Linked DNA regions of Struthio camelus. The protein of the gene in region 2 interacts with the protein of the main gene of each other region in a pairwise test. Links are inferred from orthologs where the notes say so. Each region holds a gene or a part of one and is shown on either strand. Other genes may lie near its edges.

Region 1 (7,865 bases), on a different chromosome or scaffold from region 2:
AGCACTTAAAAACACATTCTCCTCTGGTTACCAGTTAACCAACAGTGAAGATTTTTAACATTTGTCAATTTAAAATTAATAAGTAATGAAAGAAAAATATATTTTAAGTACCATTTAAAACTCTCACTGTCCCTAAAAGGCATAAAAATGACACTCCATACTTTGGACAAATACAAAAGTGAGCTGGACATTCGCTTAATTTTTAAGTTGAAAAGCAGAAAAAGCAAGATCCCGATCCTGCTTAAGATAGCTAGTAAACAAAAAGCAAACTCTTTCCTCGTTGTTCTCAGCACATCATTCTCTAGAAAGTGGAAAATCGTGCAACAGGAACATGTTTAAAGATGCCAGTCTTCTGAACACTGTTCCCTTGAACTGCTTACTTGTATTTAATTTTGATCATGCTAGTTTATGTGCTTTAGGGATAAGACCACGTTAATGCCTTTCTCACGGAACTTGACAGTAGTCTAACCTATTGTTTGGACTTCTTGTACTTGAAGTGATATATTTCATGTACTTTGTCTGTAAATTACATGTGATAGTGTTTGTAAATCAACCGCACGTAATCAACCAAATGTCATGGTAAATACGACTGTCTGACTGTTACAAATGTTCCTTAATACTATCTTGCCCTGAATGACGGGAAAGGTTTTTCTGTTGTTCTTGTGCCCCTGAGAAGTGTATTTGTTACAGGACTGTGAATCGGGAATGCAAACCTGTAAAATACATGTTCTGTTTTAGTCTTCGTTTTACTTACCTATTTTGTTTTGGGGTTTGTTTGGGTTTTTTTTTTTTTTTTGACACGAAGTTGGAGGTTTTCACAGAAATGGAGAAAAGAAATAAGTCTTCAAGTCTCCAAGGTTATATGAATTAGACTGAACAAAATATTTTTCCTAAAGTATCTTGCAGGTGGTCCTTGCTCCCTGCACTGCTAACTCCTAACTAGTTTTTCTGGTGGCTTCTGTGAAATCACTTGTGTAATGTCCTCTATAGCATTCAGCCCCTGGACCCCAAGCTCTGAGCGCTGCAGTGTGCTATGAACATAAATGTCCTCCTTAAAACATCTGTCCCTAGCAAGTTAATGAAGCCTGTGAAGGCTTGCTGTGGCGTAGTGCTTGGCTGAGAGAGGCAGGGTGCTGGATGTCGTGGGAAATTTTTGAATCACACCTTATAAATTGGGCATTGTGCTCTATGGAAATGCAGTAGTATTAGCCCAGGAATATTTGTTGGTGTTTCACAGCCATAAGTGTTCCTTAGGCCCTGTATGCAGTCTACCTGCGTCACGAGGAGGAGGTGGCAGAACTATTAGCACAGGAGGAAGTAGTACTTGTAACGCAGCACTACGTGAAACTGAAGCTGGCCACTGCTTAAAGACATCTTTAGATACTTAAAATAGAGTAGTATTTGTAAAAGTAATGCACACAGAGAGTCCTTTCTTTTTTCAGAAAGGTGCCATATGATTTGAAGTGGCTCATAGTAACATGGTACTTTTTAGGAGTCAGATCCAGTTAAGAAATATGTATTAATGAGTTCTTTTTTCCTGGTGTCTGGTCTGTAGTTCAGGTGGTTAGTATACCTCTTCAGCATCACATAAGCCTTTTTAGACTGGCTGTGTGTTATTGCTCTGGCCTGCTATTGTTTATTATTGTATTATGGTGATGATTACATTTCCGAAGGAGGATTCTTCAGGAAAAAAGTTTTAATGTAGAAGTATATAAATAAAGGAATGTGTGAGAGAGCTTTATTAAACATACAGGTATTCTCATGCTAGACACAGCAAAGCAATGCTTAGAAGAATTTTGAGAGCTGCAAACAATTTAACAGCAAGGCTAATAGTCTGCTTTTTGCTTCTTGGAGTTCCTGTTTTCTGTGGTACCTGTTTGTTCTTGTGAACCACTGTGCTATTTTCGTCTTTTGACTATATCCATCTTTAGCCTCTGTAACTCATATTTTCTCTACTCTGTCTGTGCTTCTGTATCTACAGAGATGAGAGTGTAGGTAGGGTTAAGGCAAAGACTATTTTGTAACCCTAAGTACAAAGGATCACCGTTGTCAAGTGCTAATAAAGGCAATCAGCTTGATTAAGGACATGCTCTGAAAATATATGCTACGATAGCACACAGAACAGTATGAAGGCACTTACAAACTTGGGTCTTAAATGGTTATTGTGTGTCAAAAAAATCAAGGTACTATTTTTCTCAGTTAGTCCACACATATTGAATGATCAGCCTTTAACAACAACAACAAAAATAGGTATAGAATGCCTCATGTACGCTTCAAGTGGTGTGTCGCTGGAGATCTCAGGATGGATACTATTGTCCAGTAAATATGGGATGCATCAGAACAACGTTACAATGTCAAACTTTGCTCTTGTTATTAAAAATATTGCATTGACTTTCACCATGGTGTTAACTATGAAACCAGTCACTTTTAGTCTGCTTTTCAGTAGGTAACAGTAAACTATAATGGAACCCTGGAGATATTGACGGTTACATTACATACTTTGGTTTACTTCTTTTTCAAGAGGCATGAGCAGAAATAATGGAAAGTGCAAATTAAGCAAAATAGCTTTATTTCGGTGCAACTACATGCATTGGGCAGCACTGAGAAGTGTTTCTCCCCCCAAGTCTGCAGCTCACACTGGCAGATTTTTGCAAAAGTGTTTAAACATATCTACTTACTGGGACTGGGCACCTTACCTGGCATCTTGAATGCCGGATTGACAGATAACTTTCAAAGTACAAAGGCAGACCGGTGACCCTCTGTCTCTCGTGGAAGATTCTCCGGGGAGCCGGTTTAGGAATTTTCTCAGGCTCTTCCATAATGCTTCCCAGGGACCTCTGGATATCAGATGTTTTTTTCCCTCTTTCCTGCTCTTGCCTGCCTTGCATCAGCCTCAGCTGGAGAAGAAACTCACCTCGGTGAGAGGGGAAAAAACCCAACAGTTTAAAGAGGAAGTCTCTGTACTTACTTTTAGGTCAGTACATGCCACAGACTCTTTACTCAACATATAATCACAGGAGGAACCAGGCTGAATGGATTCAAAGGATCTTTTCTAGCAAAACATCTATGAGCTCGTTCCTTGGTTTGCTCAAAGAGGAAGAGCCAAATGATGAACCTTCTGGTACAAAACTGCATCACTACTACAGCTGGTTTCACTCAGAGATAATGGCAGAAAAGCCTCCTTACTATAACTTAAAAGTATTGGACTTGGGTCCAACAAGGGTTACATGGGCTATCTACCAGCTAGGGAGACTGTTTGTACTCTTAGCTGCTTCCACAGTACTATTGAAAGTTTTCTGTGTGAATATGTGTTTTAACATTACGACTACCAGATTATGACTGTTTTAATTGAAATTTCTTTAGGAAATGGGACATCTAGTAGGATTACAGAACCCCAACAGTAATATCAGAAATAAGCCTACCTACCACTGTTTATTACTGACAGCCAAATTTCTAGTGTGCATGCAGGATAGAAAGAGCTAATATACCAAAGCCAAATAAAAAATTGTGAAGGGAAATTGTAGTTCAAGAGTGAAATGTTGGTCCTTCTGAAATGAGGGGTGAAATTTCCATTGACTTCACAGAACCGTTATGTTTTGCTTCATTTCTGGCGTTTCCTAAAGCGTTCAGAAAGAATAGCAATGACAGGACTTGGTATTTTGGTGCTTTTTGGTGTGAGAGATAAAGTGAATGTGAAAAATTTCTGTGGATCATTTGTTGTTGAACATCTTCCTGCTCTTTTTTTTGTTTTTCAGCAGCATGCACCTGTAAGATGAGTACATAATTGACCTGTAAGGCGATCTGTGATGGATCATATAGCTGCTAGCCAGCCCTAGCAGAAAAGAGAGGTACAATTGTATAGGCGAAAGTGAATTCTCCATGTCATCTCCATGTCATCTCTAAATACTGCTGTGGACAGATCCATAGTCTCAGCTTTTGTTTACATTTCAGATTGCAGAAGTTGATGTGCGTTCTTTTTTAATTTAATTTAAATGGCAGACTCTGACTTCACCATTGAATGTTGCAGAAGAGCTTATGAAGACAGGTACCTGCACTGTTGCATGGCAAGACAGAAAATGACTATGCAGGCTGGAGCTGATGAACTCGGTCCTGTGCGGTGCGCTCTAAAAATGTGTCTTTTTAAGATATGTTTTGGGCTGGCTTTTGTAGCAGCGTATCTCCTCAAACGGTTCTTTCAGCAGTAGCTCCCGGCTGAGTTCAATAACGCTTAAAAAAAAGTCAAAATCTCGTGGTGATTGTAGGTGTTTTGCAGCGTTTATTAGAAACCTGAGTATTTGAACTTTGCTGAAATTTATACAGGAAGGAAAAAAATAATGCAGTGACCCGCCAGGAGACCTTGCCTAGGGAGGGATGGGGATGAATATTCGAGAATGAGTATCATGACAGATTGAGCAGATCCTCCGAGTAACCTTGCTACATTCTGCGCTTTAAAGACAGCGCAATTAGTAATGGCTCAAGGGGGAAAGAGGGGAATAAAGGCAACGGCCGCGCGAGAGAAAGACCCCATTACCCCTGAGGCGGGGGGAAGCCTGCGGCGCAACCTTCTGCGCACGCGCGGCAACGGCTGGAGGAGGCGGGTATGGCGCGCGCGCAAAGATACCGCCCTCTCCGGCGCGCGGCCCCCCGCTGACCAATGGGGCGGGGGGAAGGGGGCGCTGCCGCTGCTCTGCGCGCGCGCGCGCGGGCGCGCAGTGGGAAAGCCCCCGAGGTTTGAAAGTCGTGAGGGGCGAACGGGTCGTGAGGCGAAAGTCGTGAGGCGAGCGGGTGGGCGAACGGCCGGAGGGGAGGGAGGGGGAGAGAGAGGCGGGCGCGGGGTGACGGCTTGGCCGACCCCCGCGCCGTAGGGCCGGGAGTCCTCGTCTTTGTCGTGGCAGCGGCGGCCCGGGATGGCGGAGGCCTTGGTGAGAGAGCGCGAGCCCGGGGGCGCGGGAAGGGGCGGTTGTGCGGCGCGAGCCCCGCGAGCGGCTGTTACCCTCCCCTTCCCCTGCCCCTCTCTCCTCACTGCACTCCTGACAGCCGGGCGGCTCCCGGCGCGGGCTTCCTGGGCCGGCCCGAGGCCTGCCCGAGCCCTCTGCGGTGCTTTCCGGCCGTGCAGTCTCGGCTCAACCCTTGGGTCCCTGGGGCTGCTTTGGGCCTCGCTCCTGGGGAGACCGCGGCCGGTGTTAGTGCTCTGCCCTCCCTGACGGGCACCGCACCAACTGGCTCGGCCCCAGGTGCTGGCACAAGCAGTTCTGTGCTGAGAGCTTGTCTTCTGAGAGCCCTGTTTTCTTTAGGCTGCCTGTAACTGCTCCTACTGCTTGTTTCTGAAAACCTTCCTTTTAGGGGGTAGCATGCAAAGAATCAATAATTCTTGCCTAGCTATATTAGAGAGGTACCCATCTTCCTCCTGCAGACCACCATCAGATATATATATGCGGTGGGTAAAATTTTAAAGGCTCTTTATGTGCAGTGGAGTATTAACATAATCACCAATAAACTTAAAAGCCCTTTTAGCTCCGACACAGGAATGTTTCATTTTTTACGTGAAAGGTTGCTTGCTTGAAGAGCTTCAAGCCTAAGCGACTGGCTCACTGTAGAGTACAGTTTCCGTACTTGTTGTGAAGTGATGACATTTTGTGTTATAAGCCATTCAATTCACTGAGTGATATGGGATTTAATCCTACCGTTTTAAGGTTGAAAATCTGCAGTGGAATGAAATTCTTTTTTTGGAATAAAATGAGATTTTTGGTCATTTTTATTAGCAGAGGTAGTATCTGCAGAAATATGTGAAAGAAATCCTAGGTGAAGCCATCACTTTCTATTCGGAAAAGTATGAAATGGTTTCAGTATGGCAAAATTATTAGGAAGAGCATGCTGAATTCTATTGCATTAGGACTGAATGATCTTCATACTGCACATGCACTTATTCCAGCAGCAGATTGGAAGAAGTCATAACTGTCAATTAAAGTTGAGTTCAGCAAGGTGGTAATTTTATCATGGAATGGCTATTATGCTGTAACTGCCTGTCGTGGTCTTGCCTGTGAAAAATACAGGGTAAGAATCTCTATGTGAGCAGTTTCCACAGATCAGTTAGATGGGCTGTAAGGTTACGACCTAGCGTGCTTTGTGGTCGTTGATTCCTTTTTGTTGTTAAGATGAGTATTTCTATAATGGCAATAGAAAATTTAACTAATCCCTTAGATTCTGTAATATTTTTGTCATGTAAGTCTTGCAATTAATTTCAATGCAACACATGCTTGATGCTTCTTAAGGAAAGTTGAATCCCTGGCAGTTGTTAAAGGGGTGCTGAGCACATCTGTCAGAACTGCAGGGTTCTCAGAATAATAGGGCTGCAGTAACTGCTACTAGTTTATGATGAATCAAGAATCATCAAGATTTGTTGGCAACGTGCTTGTTAAAAACTGATTCTTCTTTCTTAACAGAACCTTTTCAAAAAAGACTACAGAACAAGATTCTGCCATGGAGGAGGGTAATTTACATTTATACTTAAAATTCCAGTTTTAGACAGTATAGTTTGGAAAAGTTACCCTGATTTATTTCTGTGAACTTAATGTCAAAATTACAGGAGCGTATCTTTTAACATTGGTTATGTAGCGGTTCCCAACTTGTATTTCTTAGCAGTGCAAAGCAAATTGTGCTCAGGGAGAGAATACAGTGTCTTACTGAAGCTTGGAGTTTAGCACTTTGTATGTCCTTTTGATCAATGGTTGGAAAAATTAGTGTTTAATATGCTTCTGATGCTCTCTTACCTCAGTGCATGCATTCCTCCTAGACCTCGTGGGTGCAAAGGTGTTACTACTGTTTCATTTGCCGCAAAGAGCGGAGAACAGATGGCAGCAATTCTGCAACAGAGAATATTGTCCACCTCAATAGCCAGTATGACATCTAGTGATAGGTTGTCCACAGGATAGAGTCCTTTATTTACACAATTTAAGTAATTTACATTAAAAAAATACATAGATGTGTGTATGTGTATATATTTAATATAAATTCAATGTACTTATGTATGTGTGTGTATATATATATTTTTTACTTTCTATCCTTCCCAGGCTCTTTCCTTTTTCATTGACTGCTTTTCCTTTGCATTCCTCTATTAAAGTGGCAGACTATGGTGCAGAGATACTGAGGCTACCTCTAGCTAGGCTAGTTGAGTACTGAAACAGTAGTCCTTGCAAACGTTTTTCCTCTGAGGTTGTAGAGAAATGAAGCACCTGCAGAGTTCGAACTTGTGTTGTTTGGCCCTTTCTGGTAAATTAGCTTGAGTATTGTATGTTGAGTATGTTGAGTACTGAAGAGTAGCTTGAGTATTTGTTGTGCTGTAGTCTTTCCTAAAGGAATTTCAGAAGTTAGTGAGCTTTGTGTTACTGGCATCCGTTTCTAGACATGCGTTTCATGAGTTTGCTAAGAAAAAAATCTACAAAATTATCTGTTTTAGAAGACATATAATAATCACGTGGAAGAAGTGTTCTGTAGCTTTTTTGTTGTTATTTTCATCAAAGTGTTTTAGCTAGTGGATCTCTTCTGCCATTTTCAGTTCCCTTAGAGGAGATAAGAAATAGCAACCTAACCATTTGAGCTGGTTTGATACTTGCTTACAGATTTGAAACTTCAAGCCAACTCTTGCTGTTGAAGCTATGGTAGAAGCTTGGAGTAACTGATTGAGTGGTAGTAAGAGAAGACAAGGGTGGCTCTTTGTGTGAGGAGACAGATGTGCTGCCTACAAATTTCCTTTCCATGTGTGCTGAGGTTGGATCATTGTGCAGACAGTATTACATGAGTTTTGTTTTTTTTTTTTTAAAGCCAGAAAGTCTGTTCAGCCCAAAGTTGTGTTACCTGAGGGCTAT
Region 2 (7,329 bases):
CTTTCTGGAGCAAGTTCCAAAAGCAGTCAGCTTCAGCTCATTATCAAGAAAACTTTGCCAGTAGCTAACAAAAACAAAAACAAAAAAACAACAAAAAAAAATCAAGTGGCATTTTTCTGTCAGTTTAGCTAAAGGCAAAAGGATAGAGAAGCAAATCAAATGCATTCATTTGCTTTCTCTGCATTTCTTCAGTCAAGTGCAACTGCCAAGTATTCAGCATGAGGTTTCCAAGCAGCTTTGTACCACACCTTATACATTCAGCCACTTTTGAAGGCATTAGGTTTGGCAAGTTCTATTAGCGCTTCTTAACTGCTAGTCACAAGGAACTGAAGCTTAGCAAGAGCAATTCCTTTTGTACTTGGGCTTCTCGCAAAAAAAAAAAAAAAGTCATCTGGCAACAGATGAAGTGATTTAACCAGGAATCTGAGCATCCAGTGTGGCTCAGCAGCAGAAGCAGGCAGAAAGGTGTGTCCAGAGAGAGGAAGGTGTTATTAGTAATGCAGTACCCCAGCACTTCTCAACCCCTTATTAATGCTGCACTCAGATCATAACTATGCAGCAGCAACTTCTGCCTGTTAAACATCCCATATCTAGTCTCAGAAGGCTGACTTGAGTATTCTCCCCCGCCTCAAAAAAGAGACCCATACAGAAGGAATTGTTTTTAAGGCAGCACCTCTAATTTAAGGGGTGTGAGGGGAACTGCCAGGGGAAGTTTTACAACACTCAAGCAAGCATTATCATAGGCCAGTATCAAGGCAGAGGTTAAGTATTATGGCTTGGGCAAGTCAAAAATTTGACACAATGGTTTGAAAGAATCCAGGGCTTCATCCTCCCTCCACTAACCAGCTCCCTTCTCCCCCTTCCTTCCCCTGTCAAAGAAGCCAACATTACAAACATATGCAGGTAATAGTTGTATTTTATCACAGCAAAGTACCAAACAGCAGAGGATTCAATTAGTTTCCTACCTCTCATTGTCTAATTCATCAGGTCTTGCCACTAAAACATTAAGAACAGACACTAAATTAGTTGCAAGGAATTCTGCTGCATGAATGCTTAGCTCTTGGGATATAACTAAAGCTTTAATGAGTTGGGGAATGCCTAAAAAAAAATATTAACTGTAATTAAGAACCAGAGAAACATCACTCTGAAGCACATTCTGAACTAGCACATACAACAGTGTAAGACTGCAAGACAGTCTCCTTGTTGCTCTTCACTATTTGCTGGACAGCATCTGCTCTGGCTACAGCAACAGGTATTAGCAAAAAATATATATATATTGCTTTCACCCCCCCCCCCAACCCCCAGATGGTGAAGGAAGAAAGCCTGTTTATTCAGAGGCATCAGAAAGTTTTTTGATACTTTGTCACCCAGATTGGTATTTGAAAAGTGACTCAAGGATGTATCAGTTATCCAACCAAATTAAATCTAGGTTGTGAGGGAGTTGGAGAGAGAACTCTCCCCACTTCTCTGTAAGTAAGAACACTTCAGTTATATAGTCAGAAAAAAGCTGGTGCTAGAAACTGAGTAGAGCTTTAATGTCTTCCCAAGAACTACGGAGAACACAAGCTGAAGCATGAAAGCTGGCAGCTGTACTCGCTAGTTAGTTAAGGAACCAACCCTGGGAGCATGCAGACCATACATACTGCTTCGAAACCCACCCATCCAAGCAAAGCAAATAAAATCCAGAACTGCTAAAAACACTCTTATTCATGATTATGTTATTATTATAAATGATAGATAGGATTGCTTGTTTACTAAAAGTTTAGCTTAATTAGCAGCCTTTCAGATGCTTCTCCTTTAAAAAAAATCTCTACTCAGTAGGCAAGGCTGGGATCCATCTTTATCCTAAAACACCCAAGCTGGATTATTACAGATCCAGAGGAGAAAGGGCAGGCCTAGTCCGCATATGCCTCAAACGTACTAAATGCTTGGAAGACAAACCTCTTCTTCAAAACGTGGACTAGTTCACATGCATCAGATATTTCATACCTGCATGCTATCACTTTAGTGAATTATTAATATTACAAAGTTTTTCTATTAGCAGAATACTCTATGCAACATCAGCTTAAGGCTGTACAGGTAATTCCCTTGTAACTCAAGGATATCTTATCTTTAACGCATAAGATCAGACAGAGGTGACAAGCAAAGATGGCAAAAGTTCAAACTGGCCAATATTTCAACACACCCTAAAATCACACCTGGCAAGCAAACAAGAGCCTGCGATGACATCCCATAAACAAAAGCATTACAAGCACTGAGGCCCCCAGTAACGTTTTAAAGGATCTCAACTTTCTAGCAATTGAAGCGCAAGAGGGAATTCCCATGCTTACGAGACAAATGCCACTCGCTCGTCTTACTTTTACATAGGTCGGGCCTTTTCAAAGCAACTCCAGGAAGAACAAGCGGCACAAAACAGCAAGTCTTTTTGCTTGCTTCTAGATTCACAAAGTAAACAAACAACCAACCTAACCCTGTAACGCCAAGCGATGCAGAGCGCGTACTTCCAGAGCCAACAAGAGCGCTTGCTCTGCCGGGACCCGCTCAGACGCTGCAGCTTACCTCCAATTTCAGGCCAGATTTTGTTCTTCCACTGATCCAGGCAAACCAGCACCATGAGGGCGAGGGCAGCCAGGAACACCAGCCGCAGGGAAGTGAGAGCAAAAAACCTAGGGGGAAGAAACGAAGGGATCGGTCCCGGGGCGGCCGCGTACGACACGCGCAGAGGCAGTCCCGCAGACCAGCCCCAAAGCTAGCCCGCCGGCGGCGGCGGGCGGAGGGGCCCGCGGCGGGACGGACCGGGGGGACGGACCCAGGGCCCGGCCGCCGCCGCCGCTCACCCGAAGAGGCCGTGCGCCGCCGCCCAGCACAGCGCGCTGCGGCCCGGCCGCTCCCACACCAGCGCGGCCTGCGCCGCGCTCAGCAGCGGCTCGTAGGGCCCCAGGCGGCCGCGCAGCGCCGCGCTCAGCGCCTCCACCCGCCGCTGCCGCTCGCCGGGGCCGCCGGGCCGCGCCGCCGCCATGGCTCCCTCACGCCGTCAACATCCGCCGCGCGCAAGCGCGCAAGCGCACGGCTCGCCGGCGACATGGCGGCCCCCAGAGCCGGAAGTCGGGGCGCAGCGGGCGCCGCCATGGCGGCGCAGGCGCCACCGCCCCCTCGGTGGCCAGTGCGCACGCGCGTTGCCGGGGCGCCGCGAGGGGCGGGGGGGGCGCGAGCGGCGGTCTCCCGGAAGTGCACTGCGCGCATGCCCAGTGCCGCTTGGCGCCGGGCGGGAGACGGCGGCTGGGAGCGGCGCGGAGCGGCGGCGGGAGGCGCGGGGCAGCGCGGGACGAGGGCCGCGATGCCGCGGGAGATCATCACGCTGCAGCTGGGCCAGTGCGGCAACCAGAGTGAGCGGGCGGCCGGGCCGGGCCGGGCCGGGCGGGAGGCTGTGGAGAAGGGGGCGGGGCCTGGAGAAGGGGGCGGGGCCTGGAGAAGAGGGCGGGGCCTGGAGAAGGGGCGGGGGCGGGGCCACCGCGGGGGGATGCCCGGGGCCCCGGTCCGGGGTCTCGGCCCGGCCCGGCCGCGGCCCCTGCGCCCCGGTTCGGGTCCGACCCGGCCCGGCGCTCCTGACGGCAGCGCCCCTGCCCGCAGTCGGCTTCGAGTTCTGGAAGCAGCTCTGCGCCGAGCACGGCATCAGCCCCGAGGGCATCGTGGAGGAGTTCGCCACCGAGGGCACCGACCGCAAGGACGTCTTCTTCTACCAGGTACCGCGGGCCCGCGCTGCCCTGCCCCGGCTGCGGCCTGCGCCCTCGGCGTGCCGCACGCAGCTCCGACCCGGCCGCCGGCCGCCCTTCGGCTGGCCGAGCCGGCTTTGGGACGCGCCGCGCCGCGCCTGCTCCTCTCTTCCTCACCCGGCTCGTCCGCGCCTGAGGGCCGCCAGGGTCGTTCCCGACAGCTTCGGCTCCCTCCTGCAGCCCCGTGGGCTGACTCTGACCCTGGGTCCGGTTATGTGAGTGGCAGGCTCAGCTGAGCTCTCCTGCTAGGCAGCGTCGGTCAGGGCTCTTGTCTGTGCTCCGGTTTCTGGAAATGGATGTGTTGCGGAGGCTGCTGAAGGTAGGACTGTAGTGCCTGAGAAAGACGTTTATAGTTTCCACGTTACATAACCGCTGAGACTGTAAGCCCTTTATGGAAGAGCCCCCTCGCCACTCTGCACGCCCAACATTCCTGATAGGCTCTGGGGCTCGTGAAGACTGCTGCAGTACAACAAGTTTCTCTACCTCGTCTTCTCTGTCGGAGATGACACTGTGTTGTGCTCTGCTGTGGCCAGGGGGTGGCGCACTCAGTTGCAGTTTCTCTTGCAGTAAAGGGCTGCACTGAGTTGCTCCTGCATCATGATCTTACTGTTCCTTGTTAAAGGCAGATGATGAGCACTATATCCCGCGAGCTGTACTTCTGGACCTGGAGCCCCGAGTTATCCACTCCATCCTGAACTCCCCTTATGCCAACCTCTACAACCCAGAAAACATCTACTTGTCTGAGCATGGAGGGGGAGCTGGGAACAACTGGGCCAGTGGCTTCTCACAGGTAAAAGGCTCTGGTGCTCTTCTGCCCAAGCACTTGTCAGTTCCTTAGGCATGAGGATTTATTGTGGCCTTTCTCATGCCGGGCTCAGTACATGCTCTCTGAAGAATACCATATTATTCAAACAGACTTATGACTGACACTTTGTGGCACCCTTAATGCAGGGTCCCGTTGCTGATCTGACTTGTCTTCACTCCAGGTTTGAGGGGCTCTTTACCCTTCTGTGCAGGGAAGGAACAAGTCCTGTTTTGGTTTTATCTTGCAGGGAGAAAAAATCCATGAAGATATTTTTGACATAATAGACAGAGAAGCTGATGGGAGTGACAGTTTGGAAGTAAGTCCATCGGGGGATTTTCAGTCCAGTTGCCCTGACTGGTGATTCCAGGGCCAGGCTGGTTGATAGGCGCACCAGAGATACCTTCAATAGCTCAGAGATGTCGAGGAGAAGGGTATCTGGTTCTTCGACTGCTTTGCCTTGTGCATCTGGCAGTACCTTGGCTACCATCTGCACAAACCCAAACAAGGCTCCCTGGTGTTTGTATCAAGCTGTCACATGGCAACAAGGGAAGTGATATTAAAATAGGTTGGCAGAAGATCAAAGAGCAGGTTGTGGGACCTGCAGTGGGTGGGAGCTGCGCTGAAGTCAGGTAGAGGGAGTTTGGCCTCCGTGATCCTAGAAGGAGGGGAATAGCATGGAGGGCCCAGGGAAAGGGCTAAGAACCTATATCTTCACTTTAATTGACTGACTGAGACCTGAAAATGATATCCAAGCTACTCTGAAGCCTGTTTCAGGGTGGGAGGAATCCAGGAGGCTCCTGAGCAGCAGTTGTTCTTCTTGGCATGTACAAAGAAGTAGGTTGCACCCCCGCTGGCAGAAGTGGTGTGATTAGTGAGTGACTGCCGCTGTAGTCTGGAGGAGACGAGGCTAACCTCCACGTACCGTTCAAAGGCTTCATCTCTTTGCTCTCAGCAGCTCTTGTCACAGGGGGTAGTTCTCACCTGTGTTGGCAAGTCTCTGCTGGTGGTGGTGGCTCAGCCTGTCTCTGCTCTGTCTGCTCTTTGGGTTGAGCTGGACCTTGAGCTGCCTATGTTCTGCTTCTTTCCAGGGATTTGTGCTTTGCCACTCCATTGCTGGTGGTACAGGCTCCGGGCTGGGCTCCTATCTCCTTGAGAAGCTGAATGACAGGTGAGCATTCAGCTTTATCCCCTTCCCTCCTGGCAGAGTCTGGCCCAGACTGGGCACCCTGCCAAAGCACAGAGCTTGAGAGCGCTGACTCAGAGCCTGGGCCGCTGCCCCCACCCAAACACTGTCTTGTGCAATCCCTGGCAAGCTGCCTGGAAAGGGATGGCTCCTGATATGCCTGAGGACTTCGGAGGCTCTGAATCTGGACTCATGCTGTCCAAATTTTGTCTTTCTTCAGCCGTTCTTATCAGGCAGTTGCCTCCTGACACCCTAACTGCTCTGGGGAGAGTGGGAGGCTCTAGCTGTGGGCTCTGAGCTGCCATCCCTGCCTGTTGCAGCTTGCAGCCTCTTGAAAAGGCTTGTAAGCAGCTGCTTAATCTGCCCGCGGATGGCTCAGCCTTGGCTGTAGCTCCGTCTGGCAGCCTGCTCCTGTGCTGCTAGGGTAGGCACTGCTGGGACAAATCCTCTCCCTCCCTGAGAGCTGAGTCTGGCATGCAGCACCAGTGACTCACTGCTGTCCTGAGCCCTAGAGACTGGAAAGGGAGCTTGTGGGAGGAGAGAGTCCTGTGTTGGTGATGTTAACCCCTGAGACGGCTGGGCTTTCTCACCAGGTATCCCAAGAAGCTGGTGGAGACCTACTCAGTTTTCCCAAACCAGGATGAGATGAGCGATGTTGTAGTGCAGCCGTACAACTCTCTGCTGACACTCAAGAGGCTGACTCAGAACGCGGACTGCGTGGTAAGAGTCCTGCTGCATGTCAGGCCCGTGGGGCAGCCAATTCCTGTATGGCAGACCTGTTCCCAGCAGCTCAAAAACGCAGCCTTTGCTGGGGCAGGTGCCATAGGTGCGTGGGACGAGTGCTGCGGCGAGAAGCTGCAGCCTGGCAGCCCCAGGCACAGCAGTGAGCGCACAGTTCCTTTTTTCCTCCAGAAGGTCTGAGCAGATGTGGTGGTTCCAGGGACAAGGGCTCTGCGCTAACCCTTGGTTGAGCTGTCCTTTTTGGCATTTCTGCTTTGTGGCTACAGCATATTCTTCCCATGGCAGTGAGGGGCTGGTGCTAGCTGTGCTGCTTCTGCATAGCTGTGCTGCTGCCTTCCGCTTGACCGTGAATCCGCTTATCACTTTCAGCACCCACAAGCCCCAGCCACAGAACATCTTCAGCCTACACCTTGGCCTTCTGTCAGGTCCTAACCAAGACGCTTGCTCGTCCCTCCCAGCTTATCTCTGCATTTGACAGGGCAAGAGCAGCTGTGCCAGGGTTGTTGAGGGTAAAGGTCGCTGCGAGGTGCTGGCCCAGAGGCAGCGCTCTCCTGGGAGAGCTCTGGGGAGCGCAGCCAAGACAGGAGGGAAGAGCTTCCATTGACAGTATCGGTTACGCTCCAGGAATGAGTCAGCTTGTGGTTTCAAGCGTCTGCCACCTGCTGCAGAGGGCTCCACCGGGCTGTGGCGCTCAGGGCCTGTCCTGGGCCAGGTTGCGTGATCTGGTTCCCTCAGACACTTGGCTAGGGCTGCATTTCCTCCAGGTGATTCTCAAGACTCTTCATGGAGGTGGTTTTCTTTTGTAGGTGGTTCTAGACAACACGGCC

The links. The genes of interacting proteins can lie anywhere in the genome.
Region 1: the proteins of RETREG3 (region 2) and STAP1 interact in binary tests that used the Homo sapiens proteins (3 or more experiments, as listed by UniProt). The two-hybrid records come from large-scale screens. The link is inferred for Struthio camelus from reciprocal best matches to the Homo sapiens genes RETREG3 and STAP1.

Annotation. Positions count from the first base shown.
Region 1 is NC_090945.1:5,207,515-5,215,379, reverse strand, and holds the start of STAP1 (signal-transducing adaptor protein 1), read right to left. Parts: upstream 3,007-7,865; 5' UTR 2,889-3,006; coding exon 2,697-2,888; intron 1-2,696. Other genes in the region: CENPC (centromere protein C), read left to right, coding at 4,908-4,922, 6,444-6,490. UniProt on the Homo sapiens protein: In BCR signaling, appears to function as a docking protein acting downstream of TEC and participates in a positive feedback loop by increasing the activity of TEC.
Region 2 is NC_090966.1:7,760,288-7,767,616, forward strand, and holds the start of RETREG3 (reticulophagy regulator 3), read right to left. Parts: upstream 3,020-7,329; coding exon 2,838-3,019; intron 2,667-2,837; coding exon 2,560-2,666; intron 997-2,559; coding exon 966-996; intron 1-965. Other genes in the region: TUBG1 (tubulin gamma-1 chain), read left to right, coding at 3,242-3,386, 3,631-3,743, 4,396-4,563, 4,826-4,894, 5,667-5,746, 6,355-6,481, 7,309-7,329. UniProt on the Homo sapiens protein: Endoplasmic reticulum (ER)-anchored autophagy regulator which exists in an inactive state under basal conditions but is activated following cellular stress.